Linked DNA regions of Sus scrofa. The main gene of each other region encodes a partner of the protein of the gene in region 2 in a complex. Links are inferred from orthologs where the notes say so. Each region holds a gene or a part of one and is shown on either strand. Other genes may lie near its edges.

What was found. The genes of interacting proteins can lie anywhere in the genome.
Region 1: LIN54 (region 2) and TFDP2 share a complex: the UniProt entries of both Homo sapiens proteins name them as parts of the DREAM complex. The link is inferred for Sus scrofa from reciprocal best matches to the Homo sapiens genes LIN54 and TFDP2.
Region 3: LIN54 (region 2) and LIN52 share a complex: the UniProt entries of both Homo sapiens proteins name them as parts of the DREAM complex. The link is inferred for Sus scrofa from reciprocal best matches to the Homo sapiens genes LIN54 and LIN52.

What each region holds. Positions count from the first base shown.
Region 1 is NC_010455.5:82,935,052-82,938,795, forward strand, and holds the start of TFDP2 (transcription factor Dp-2), read right to left. Parts: upstream 2,740-3,744; 5' UTR 2,728-2,739; coding exon 2,563-2,727; exon of another isoform or gene 2,305-2,562; intron 1-2,304. UniProt on the Homo sapiens protein: Can stimulate E2F-dependent transcription.
Region 2 is NC_010450.4:135,330,518-135,334,261, reverse strand, and holds the start of LIN54 (protein lin-54 homolog), read right to left. Parts: upstream 2,379-3,744; 5' UTR 1,848-2,378; coding exon 1,625-1,847; intron 1,210-1,624; exon of another isoform or gene 899-1,209; intron 807-898; exon of another isoform or gene 599-806; intron 1-598. UniProt on the Homo sapiens protein: Component of the DREAM complex, a multiprotein complex that can both act as a transcription activator or repressor depending on the context. In G0 phase, the complex binds to more than 800 promoters and is required for repression of E2F target genes.
Region 3 is NC_010449.5:97,380,400-97,384,143, forward strand, and holds the start of LIN52 (protein lin-52 homolog), read left to right. Parts: upstream 1-1,620; 5' UTR 1,621-1,957; coding exon 1,958-1,988; intron 1,989-3,744. Other genes in the region: ALDH6A1 (methylmalonate-semialdehyde dehydrogenase [acylating], mitochondrial), read right to left, coding at 1,335-1,382.

The DNA of each region.
Region 1 (3,744 bases), on a different chromosome or scaffold from region 2:
TTCTATTTTACTAAATTTGCTATGAATGTTTTTTTTTTTAATTTTTTTACTTTTTGTCTTTTTAGGGCCCCACCCACAGCATATGGAGGTTCCCAGGTTAGGAGGTCAAATCAGAGCTTCAGCTGCCGGCTTACACCACAGCAACACTGAATCTGAGTGCGTCTTCGAACTATACCACAGCTCACAGCAATGCCGGATTCTGAGCAAGGCCAGGGGTGGAACCCATGTCCTCATGGATACTAGTCGAGTTTACTACCGCTAAGCCACGACGGGAACTCCCTTTGCCTTGAATTTAATTTTAGCTCACTCTGTTTCCCCACCATGTTCTAAAAACTTTCATATATCTAAACGGGTTTTAAAAATGGTAAAGTCAATGTAAATATAACTAACTCATGCATTTTGTATAAAACAACAACAGCAAGAAAACAAAGCCAATCTATCACGCTAAAAAAAAAAAACAACAAAGCAAATGTATATTCACATTTCGATTCCTAATTACAAAAAAGCCATCTCTGAATCCTTAGGGTATGTTTTAGTGAATAATTTGCATCAGCAAATGCCTTCCCATAAAGGAGAAACATATTTGTACATCCAATTTCAAGCTGCATTGAGAGGACATAGCTCAGTCAAGATTTTGGCTGCAAGGGAAAAACGTAAAGGTGCCAGTTGGAGGACAGAGTTCCAAGAGTTGGATGGAAAGGTACATGACCACAAAATGGTAATGTACGGTATTACACACTTGAAAATTGTTTTCTCCTCTTAATTAAACAATTAGAAATAAAGAGAACTCAAAAATAAGAGTTTAATAAGCCTTGGGCATTTATTAAATATAAGCGCCATATTGCTGAAACTGCAACTGTACTGCCAGAACAGTGCTACAGACACCATGTCTGCCATGAGACTAGACTCTAGTTCCAGGCACAAGATGTTCTAATAAATAACAAATGCATTGAGAGCCAGCACACAAGTGTGACAGAATCCGGGGTCTAGGCATTTGATTTTTCTCCGGGTGCTACTTGAGAATGGACACTGCCATGAAAGATTTATTACAGTAACAGGATAGTGATAAAGCTTAGCTAAATTATAGGCTAACCAATGAAATGGAAAAGCAACATGCAAGATCAAATCAACTAAATTCTATGTAATTTTGTACAGAGGACAGATGAATAACCTCAACTATGTCAACTAGGTGAAGATGATTACAAGCCAATAAGAGAAAAGAAAAGTGGCCCGGTGGGGGGGCGGGGGGGCGGAATGAGGCTATAGAAGTCAAATGAAAAAACACAAGACAAAGATTTGGGGGAGAACGGAGAAGGGAGGGAATGCCTTACTAAAAAGAGAGTAAAGAAGTGGGAAGGGAGTCTGAATCCTCAGAGATAGAATGAGGAAGAGAAAAGCATTCAAAGTATTCAAAGGCTCAAAAGGAGCTTCAGCAGTGAATACAGAAAGGGATGATGAGCCTGTTAACTGTTTCAGCAGAAAAAAGAGAAACATCAATAGAGGGACCTTTTACAAACCACCATTCACGGTGGTCAATTAAAGGCCTAACTCATTCAGGGCAGAGCACTTAATAGGAGATGAGCTTTGTTCCAAAGGGTTCCACCTATTAGTCCATTTACTCCCGGCAACAACCCGAATAGGTGGATACTCTTTTACAGATGAAGAAAGAGACCACACGCAAGGTAATACCAGCTGGTAGCAGAGGCTGAGAGCTCACCCACTTGGCTGCATAGTCTCTCTACAAGATCCTACAAAAACCTTTATACTTTTCTGGAAGGTGGAGAGGGGAGGAGACCTTGGCTCTCTGGAATTTCTCAAAGGAGCCTGGGCCCCAAAAGTGATCCTCTACTTTAGAGAAAAGTTCCCTTATGGGGGCGATGAGGTTCTTCCAATCGCAAAAGGCTTTGGCACTCTGAAATACACCTGATAGAGAGAGATGGAGGCCTATGGGTCATGAAAGGAGGAAAAGTCGGAAACCTAGACTTAACGCCATCCTTCTCCCCTGAAGATGCCGAGAGAGGAGAAAGCAGCCTTTCCTCTCTTCCACGAGGCGTGACTCAGGCACGGTGGCTCACTCCAATTTGTACGGGGGAGTGGGGTAGTAGGGGAGTCTCGAGTTTCCGACTCTTCCCCAGACCCTTAAGGGTTACTCGGCGAGGCCTGGAAGAACGCGTGGGAATAAACAGATGGGACCCGAGGTTGCAAGGGGGCCGGAGGCTCATGGAGGGAAACCTGCCCGGGAACTCGGCGGGCCGAATCCAGAGGCCCTCGGCACGGAGCCCGCGCCCTCGCCCTGGACCTTACCGCCGCTAGGTTGCAGAGGACAAGGCGGCCACGCAGGGCTCTTCTTCGAGCCTGGGGCGCGTCTTCGGGCGCCGCCGCTCCAGTGGCGCCGGCGCTTGGCGGCGGCCAGGTCCCGGTGGATTTACACTCGGGGCAGGGTGGGCGATCCGCGGCCTGCCCAGTGGAGGCCCTGGAGTTCGAGGCCCCGGGACGCCGACCGCGCGCGCGCGCGACCTCGAGCCTGCCCAAAGAGGAAGGGTCAGGGCGCGCCCCGCTTACCGAGCAGCTCCGGCGGCTGCAGCAGAGAGCGCTGGCGGCTTCGTCCGCCCTTTCCCGGCCCCGCCACTGCCCCGCTTCCCCCGCGCGAGCTTTGGCGGCGGAGCAGCACGGTGAGCGCCGATTGGCCTTCGGCATGAGTGACGTAAGGCGCCTCTCCCCACGCATTGGCCAAGCCGGCGGTGCGTGCAAGGAGTAAACAAACCCCGCCCCCAGGCTTCCCAAAGAGAGGAGGGGGCCGCCAGGTGGGGAAGCGGGGTCTCTTGCACTCTGCACCGGCCTTGGGTAGCTCACTGGAGGTTCCTGGTGGGCCCCCCGCAGCGGTCCCACCACACGGCTCCCCGGCCCCCTCCAGGGCAGGCTACAGGCCTGAGGCCTAAAATATATAGAAACACCCTCCCCTGTCTCCCCTGGCCATGGTGGGAATCTTGACTTTTTCATCCTCCCCCATCCCCTCAGCCTAAAGCAGGAAAACCCTATCTCCCTTAGAAAAGGGGGAACTAGGGCGGTTACATCTCCGTCCCTAGGCATTCGAATGGGTCATCTCCAGGGGAGCAGAGTGAAGGAGAATGGGGACAAGTGATTGAGGCCACGTGTGAGGCCAAGTGTGCAATACCCTGTGAATTGTTCAGACAGTGGGTTAGAGAGCCCCGGGATGTGGGTCCTTCAATCACTGGCATATAAGATCCAAACCAGGCCAGGTCACTAGAAGCTGAAGAGAAAATCACGGCTCCTATCCCCAAATACACTTCCAATATTAATACATTTTATTAATTGTGTGCCTATCTGAAAATCATGTGAGCTTACATTTTAGTGGGGTGGGAAAGACAATATGCAAAAGAGATAAGCAAGATATTAGCTGTTACATGCTGGTACACATGCTGTGGGGAAAACAGTCTAGTAGAGAGGGTGTTTGAAGGATGGCTTGTCTTAAACACAGTACCCAGGGAAGGCAGCAGGAAAGGTGCCATTTAAATAAATACCTAAACGAGGTGGGGGAGGTGAGAAAGTACCTTTGGACCTTTCTCTGGGGTGGAGTGGAGAGATAATTTCTGCATAATTGTACCTAGATAAAGTCAGGCGTTCAAGAATGCCAAAGGCAGTCTCCTTGGACTGATTCTAAAATGCAAAAGCCCCGATGGAGTCATTACCTTGCATTTTTTCAGTAACAAATCAATAGGTTTT
Region 2 (3,744 bases):
ACACCACTCTCCAGGTACCTGCAGCACAATCAAAAACATACAAGGACCTTTAGGTAATCTAACAAAATCAGACTATGGCTGTCAGAAAGTCAGTCAACCCAATTCTCCAGCTCTTTAAACAAAGGGCGAACAAGTCCGGTATTTAAAGGAGAGAGATCTCAGGCCATCTTGAACCGACTTAAAATTTGACTTCTATCAAGTGCACGTTGTCAAGCCATCGTAACTTCCTTCTTAACAATGAAGGTAAAACTTGTGAACCTGGAGCCCCCAGAGCTGATTGGATCATAAAATCCACTGCAACATCTTCCATAACTTTACTCTCTGAATTCACGAAATGGATGGGGGCAGGGAAAAACACGGCTATCGCACATGCCCGACAGCATCTCCACTGTTATCTGCCCAATGGCAGGGGCCAAAGGGTCTTCTACAGATGACAGAGCCATAAAAGAAAGAGGCGAGAGTTGTAGTCATTGCAAAACTGGTGCATGTGCTCAAAAAACGTGAACATCCACAGCCCAACAAGTTACAGACTATGATGTAAGACCCAGAGCTGAAATGCAGAAAATGCCCAACGCGCTGCCTCCCGAAAGAAACATACCACCCCTGAACCTGGGAACATCTTCAAAGCGGCCCCCGCCAGAGAGGGTATTTTAAGTCTTAAATCAGGAAATCATGACAACTGCTAGCGGTTCCTCTAGGCCTCGGCAGCAGCCTCAGGAATAAGAGCCAACTCGAGCCCTCGGAACCCTCAGAGCATCGTGCTGACGGCATTACGAGGCTCCCGAAGCCGTGCCCTCTGCCCTCGTCCTTCCGTGAGCCGCAGCGCGAGTCTCCTCCCGCCCGCCCGCCCCCCCGAATAAAGACCCCGCGCAGAGCCGCCCTCCGCACCCTCCTCTACCTCCGGCGGCCGCCGCTTTCTCCTCCTCCGGCTCCGAGGTGGGGGCTCCCGAAGGTCCCGGGCAGCGCCGAGCCCGGGCGCCGCTGCCGGTGCCTGCGCCCCGCGGCTCCGGGCGGCCGCGTCCGCCCCCGCCTGCCCGCCCCCGAGCGCCACGCGGACCCCGGGGGCCGAGCCGCCAGCGCGGGGGGCGACGCCGCCGCGGCCGCCGCCGCCTCCGGAGTGTCAGCGGCCGGGATTGTATTTCGAAAGATCCGCCATTTTCACCTCGTCATCACCATCGCAGCGCAGCCGCCTCCCCGACAGCCCGCGCCCCGGCCGCCGCCGCCGCCCGCCCCCGCCGGGCCCCCGCCCCGGGCCCCCCCCGCGGAGGCGCACGCCCACATATCCGGGGAAGCCGCCCGGCCGGCCGCCCGCCCCGCAGCGCCGGGCAGAGGCGAGCGCACCCGCAGCCCGCGCCGAGCCCTCTCACCCCGCAGCCGAGGACGCGGCTGCTGCGGGCCCCGCGGCCACGCCGGGGGAAGGCGCGCCCGCTGCGGGCTCCCCGGTCCGGCGGATTTTTGTTTCGAGAGGCAAGAGCCAGGCGGACGGGGGCAGGAGGACAATGAAGAGCCCAAACTCTCTCATCTTCAGGAAAGCAAGTTGAGGGAGGGGAGGACGGGTCGCCTGTTACGCACCGTGTCCACCCTCGACCCCAACAGCAGGATCGAGACCTCTAAGGTCACTCACCAACGCTGACATCTTCCTCCCCCGTCAGCACCACTTTGACAGAAGGGGCTCTTTCCACCTGCACGTCCCACCTCTGACACCTCTGTCCATGACCAGCACGGCTTCTCCTGCAGATACTGTGGTCAAAACGTCTAGTGTTTACAGTAACGTTCTCAACTGTTTTCCACTCAATTTCTCTGATCATCAACACTGACCATAAACTCTGGGGCTTCCAGTGTGTCATTGGCTTAAGACGTCAAAGTGCAACTAGATTTACAAGGCATTGACCCTAGTCATGAGTGAACAGTTTCTAAAATAGAGAAAACATACCTCTAAGCGGAAATGCTTTGCCAAACGCTTTTAAGGATCTAAGTCACCGAATAATTGAAAAAAAAAAAAATCTGCCGCTGACATTCATTTGATACAGTGAAAATAAGCAGCTTGCTTTAGAATAAGACCCCGGAGTTACCTACCCAGCCCCATCAGCTCCACCATTGTGCAGTTTAATGAATAACGAAAAGAAAATACAGATTATTTTAATTATCAAAGACATAACAAGAAAACCTAAGCTGCAAGCTTCTGACGGGATCAGAATTAAAAAAAAAAAAAACACGTAAATTAGCTGCCTTTATTGATTTCAGGTTTGATAACCACCCATCCAAAAGCTGGATTCTATACCTACCATTCGACTACAGCATAAGACCTGTCTGAAATGAGCAAACGGAATGTACAGATTTCGAACAGAGCCACTCGACTGTCTTTCTTCAAAGTTAGTTTAAGAAGAGAGAGTAAGAAACTGAAAAAGCCATTTCACTTCCTTACCTTGCTTGAATGACAATTCCACATAAAAGACGGCAGCTTCAGGCTTAAACAAGTGCTATCTATCAATCGGCCCAGTCGTCGTTTCTCTATGCAGCCTGCTAGACGCCAGGAGTATCGAGCCTGCCCAGCTTCTTCATCTTTAAACTTTATTTCCCCTCCGCCAGCCCCATCCATCCGCACTCTGCTTGGTGTTTACCGTTGCTTGGCCAGGCTAAGCCCTGGCCCGCTCCCTTCCCCGTGCACCTCGGGAACATTATGACATTTGGCTGGTGGGCTTCGCGAGGAAAACGGACACACACGAAGACACCATACAAAGGGGCGTAGGAAGAACCGGGCGGCGGGCAGTAGGGAAAGGAAGGGCTGCTACGAAATGACACAGCAGCAAAACCGGTTCCCAGAAACCCGGGGCCGACACGGCGGCTCCTCGGGCCGCGCCGTGTGCGTGTCAACAGCCACGGGAGCCCTCCCTCCAGACCGCCCAGAAGGACAGGCTGCCGGCGGAGCGGCGGCCCAGCCGGGTGACAGCCGCCCTCCCGAGGGCCGGCGGGAAGGGCCCGAGCCGGGAGGCTCCTCCCGCCCCCTGCGGCCCGGGGATGGGGCGCGGCGGCCCCCAGACTGCAGGTTCCCGCTCTCCGCCACGACCCACTAGCCGGGCTCCCGGAGAGGGCGGTCCGGCGCCCTCCGCCCGCGCCTCCACCCGCAGCGCCCCCTTTCCCGCCGGCCCGCCCAGAAGCCCCCACCCCGGGGGCTGACACTCACCAAAGCCGGCGGCGCCGCCGCCTCCTCCTCGCGCCGCGCTCCCTGGGCTCCCAGCAGCCGCGGCGGCGGCGGCGCCTCCGAGACACAGACCCGGGTTTGTTCAAAATCACGCGCCCAGCGCCATTCCACCGCCGCATCCCATAATACGCCGGGCCCTCCCCGCCCGCGCGCCCCTCTCCGCCCGCCCCTCCGCTCCGCCCGCCCCGCCTCCCGGCCGGCTTCCTTCGCCCCGCCCCTTCCGCGGCGCCTTGCCCCGCCCCTTGGCAACCCGAGCGAGCGTCATCCCGCAAGGCGCCGGCAGGACGCTCCTGCTCCACGTGACCCGGAGTGGGCGCCCGGTCCAAGCTTTCGCACGGAATGTTCCATCCGGCTGAGACTGGGAGGGGGAAGAGCGGGATCGCGCCTGCAGTTGGGAGGTTGGAAGGGACCGCGCTACCGTCTCGCTTTCCTTGTTAGGAAGTCTCTGCTGTGGGTGCAGTTTCCAGCATCTTGCCGCTGTTTGATGTACTTGGGTGGGGAGTGATCAGTAATCACAGATGCCAAATCTTTTCGTTTTTTAG
Region 3 (3,744 bases), on a different chromosome or scaffold from region 2:
AGGTTTGATATAATGAGTAAGAAAAGCAACGTTGTTTTTTGCAGATTCCTGAATGTTGCCTGTGGCAAATCTCACCTCAAAATCCAAGTCCTTGCTAGGCTGTGGACAACATAGGAAAAGCTATGTATGAATAGTTGGAAATCACAGGTCTCAGGCAGGCAGCTCCTGTAGCTCTATCTACTGTCTGCCCTTAGGCTGGCTTCAGAGAGGACCTGGTCCCTCCACCTCCACTCCCAGCCCCACCTCTGAGGGCAGAACTGAGTCACACTAAGGTGATTTTGGAGTGGGAACTTAGAACGTTACACCTGTTTTCCTTGGCTTTTATTTTCTGCCACTTGTTTCAGAGGTGTTTAGTCCTTTGCATGTGCTTGGAACAAACCGGGTAGCATTAACTATGTGTCCTTATTCACCGCCAACATAAACACTAACTTGGCTGAGCAAAAGTTAAACTCAAAGTCTCAGCAAGCCAAGAGGACAGCCTAGCTTGTGGAAAATACAGAACCACGGAGTTCCCGTCGTGGCTCAGTGGTTAATGAATCCGACTAGGAACCATGAGGTTGTGGGTTTGATCCCTGGCCTTGCTCAGTGGGTTAAGGATCCGGCGTGGCCGTGAGCTGTGGTGTAGGTCGCAGAGGGGGCTCGGATCTAGCGTTGCTGTGGCTCTGGCGTAGGGCGGCGAAGACCGCTCCGATTAGACCCCCAGCCTGGGAACCTCCATATGCCGCGGGTGCGGCCCCAGAAAAGGCAAAAAGACAAAAAAAAGAAAAGAAAAAAAGAAAATACAGAGCCAAAGCTGGGGAAGATAGCTCAGCAAATGGCTGCTTTGAGGGAAAGCTTAGTGTGCACTTCTAGAAGGAGACTCAAAGTTCACTCACTGACCCTCACCCCTCAAGTCCTTCCTCCTCCTCCCCTCCGCCCACGCCTTTACCTCGGGTTATAGAGTGAAGTAGGGTTGGGGAAGGGAACAATTTGGACGCTCCCAGAGAATGCCAAGAAAGGCGACCAGAAAAGGAGCTTCTGGAGCAGAGAGGTGGTTGGTGCAGAGGTGAAAGGGAAAGACGGTGGGCAGACCTACAGAGGTGAGGGCAGGGACCGGGCACGGCTGGAGGAGGAGAATGGTCTAAAGCCTGAAAGGGGTAGGCTCAAGAATAAAAAGGCCACGGGTAATAGTCCAGGGCTGGATCCAACGCAAGTGGATACCGAGTGAGATGTGGGACAGGGCCGCTCAGGTCCGATGGGAATAGGAGGGTCGGCCAAGGGGGGGTTGGTTCACAAAGCGGATGGAAAGGACTGAATTCCTAGTTTCATGAACCCTTGGCGCCACCCTCACTCGCCTGCAGGATCCGGGCCCGCACTGCCGCCGCAGCCAGCACCGCCGCCATGGTTCTCGGTTGCCTCTTCTCAGCCCCCCACGCCTTTCTGTGAGACTGTCCAGAAACACTACTGCTGCTAGGCCTTGCCCCTCCATCCTGCCGAACCTCTTCATTGGTGGAGAGGACTATTTCCCCTAGCCAATCACACGCCTTAACACTGACTCCACGCCCTCAGTGCCCAGTTCTGGGCGTATGCGATTGGTCAGAAGTGATAGAGCTCTCGCCTCCTCCCGCCTCAACAAATTCTGCTGGCGGAGGTGGGGAAGACGCCCCTGACTTGGATACTCTATATTGAGAGCACGAGGAAGACGCCCCCGAATTCGGAACTCCGATTGGCCACAGGCATGGCCGCAGCCCCACCCACTCACTGAGGAAAGTAAATAGGACTCTGCAAGAATTTTCAGCAGCGCCAGCACATCCACAGCGCGAGGGGGTGTGGCTAGCCCTGGGGGCGGGGCTACGGAAGATTACCCTATGGGGCGGGGAAACGAGACAGGACAGAGGGTTGGGGAATAGGGTTTCTCTCTGGGGGCGTGGCTTATGGACCCTAGCTTTCCCGCCGACGGTTGGCAACGTCACGTGACATGGGTTGGAAGATGGCGTCTCCCACAGACGGTAAGAGCCGGCTTATAGACCCTTCGCTTGCGACCTCCTTCTCTGTTCTCCTGGGAACTTACAGATGCTCAGAGAGAATCTCTCCGTCTGCCCCTCTAACTTACACCTTTTTCGTGGCCTTCTCGCCTTTCCCTTTTACTTTCCCACGGTATGTGGGTGCGTCTTCAGCTCGCTGGTTCTTCACAGAGGCTCCGGAGGTGCCCAGTTTCTTTGCAGTGTGCCAGGCGGATGGAGTAGGGCACCCGATTGGGACCCATTCCGGGCAAAACAAGGAGGGCCTCTCTGGTCCTCCTTTAGCCGCATTTGAGTGAGGCTGAGGGCCAAGGAGGAGATACTGCTGGGGTAAAGGAGGTGTCTCAGTGTAGCTTTCTCTTTCTCAGGGCGCCCCTTTGAAGGTTCGATTCTCTTTGAGCATCTGGAACGATTCTCTCACGCTAGCTAGGGTTGGTGGCAGACCTAATCTCGGGATTGAACCGCAAGGAAAATGTGATTCTCTCCTCCCTCCTCGGATTGGGACCGTTGTTCTGGCAGCAAGGGAAGCAGGAGACCCCTCTTGGTCCCTCTCAGTGAGAGTCCCTAGGAAAATGACAATTGAGCTTTTTAGTGTAGTCATGCACATTCATTCACTCAGCGTCTTTCTTCTATGTTATGTGTTGTTTCCTAAGGCTGAGTGAATGAATGATTTCTGCTTATATGTTGTATAAGAAGCAAGTCATCTGAGGTAGCAATTAAGTGGTTTTGGTATATCCACAGGGTTTTGCGCTCCGTTCTGCTTTAGGGTTAGGGTCTTGCAGTCATTTCTAAGCTCAGTTTTTGCCTCGACAAAATGCTTGCAGTCGTTTCTAAACTCAGTTTTGCATCTCCACGTCCATTTCACTTATACTTAGTTTTCTCTCAAACAAAGGAATTTTGTGTATGGAAGGAATCTTGGAAGTTCATTTCAAGAATGAGGAAGTTGAGGCCTGGAAAGCTATGCTGAGATCCACTATTCGAAAGGCATTATTATTCTAATTGCTTTGGGAGAGGAAAAGATTAATCAAACATGTAATATTTTTTCAGTTTCATTTAAATGTCACCTCCCAAAAAGGCTTTCCCAGAACACTGTATCTGTTTCTGGAGTTGCCTCACTTCACCATTATTCTATCTCAGTACCCTCATCCACAGCATAGTTATTCTGTTAACTTTGCCCCTTTCACACTAGCTTGTAAATTCCAAGACTGTCATGTTCATAGTTGGATCCCAGGGCTTAGCACAGTACCTGGCAGGAAGTAGGTCTTCAATTCACATTTATTGAATGAATGATTAGATATATACATAAATAATGTATTACTTAGTCTTAAGTTTTAACTGAGTGTTAAGTTTTTTGAGCATGGGTACGTACTGCAGAGGAAATTATGGGTGTAAAGAGTCAAAAGAGGAGTTACCATTGTGGCTCAGTGGTTAACGAATCCGACTAGGAACCATGAGGTTGCAGGTCCTATCCCTGGCCTTGCTCAGTGGATTAAGGATCCGGCGTTGCCGTGAGCTGTGGTGTGGGTCGCAGACACGGCTGGGATCCTGAGTTGTTGAGGCTCTGGCGTAGGCTGGCAGCTACAGCTCTGATTAGACCCCTAGCCTGGAAACCTCCATATGCCGCGGGAGCGGCCCAAGAAATGGCAAAAATATAGGAGAAAAAAAAAAAGAGTCAAAAGAGATTCTTCTGCCTGGGTGCTCTCTTGTTAAAATGTGCTTTTTTTTTTTTTGCCTGGAAAAAAAG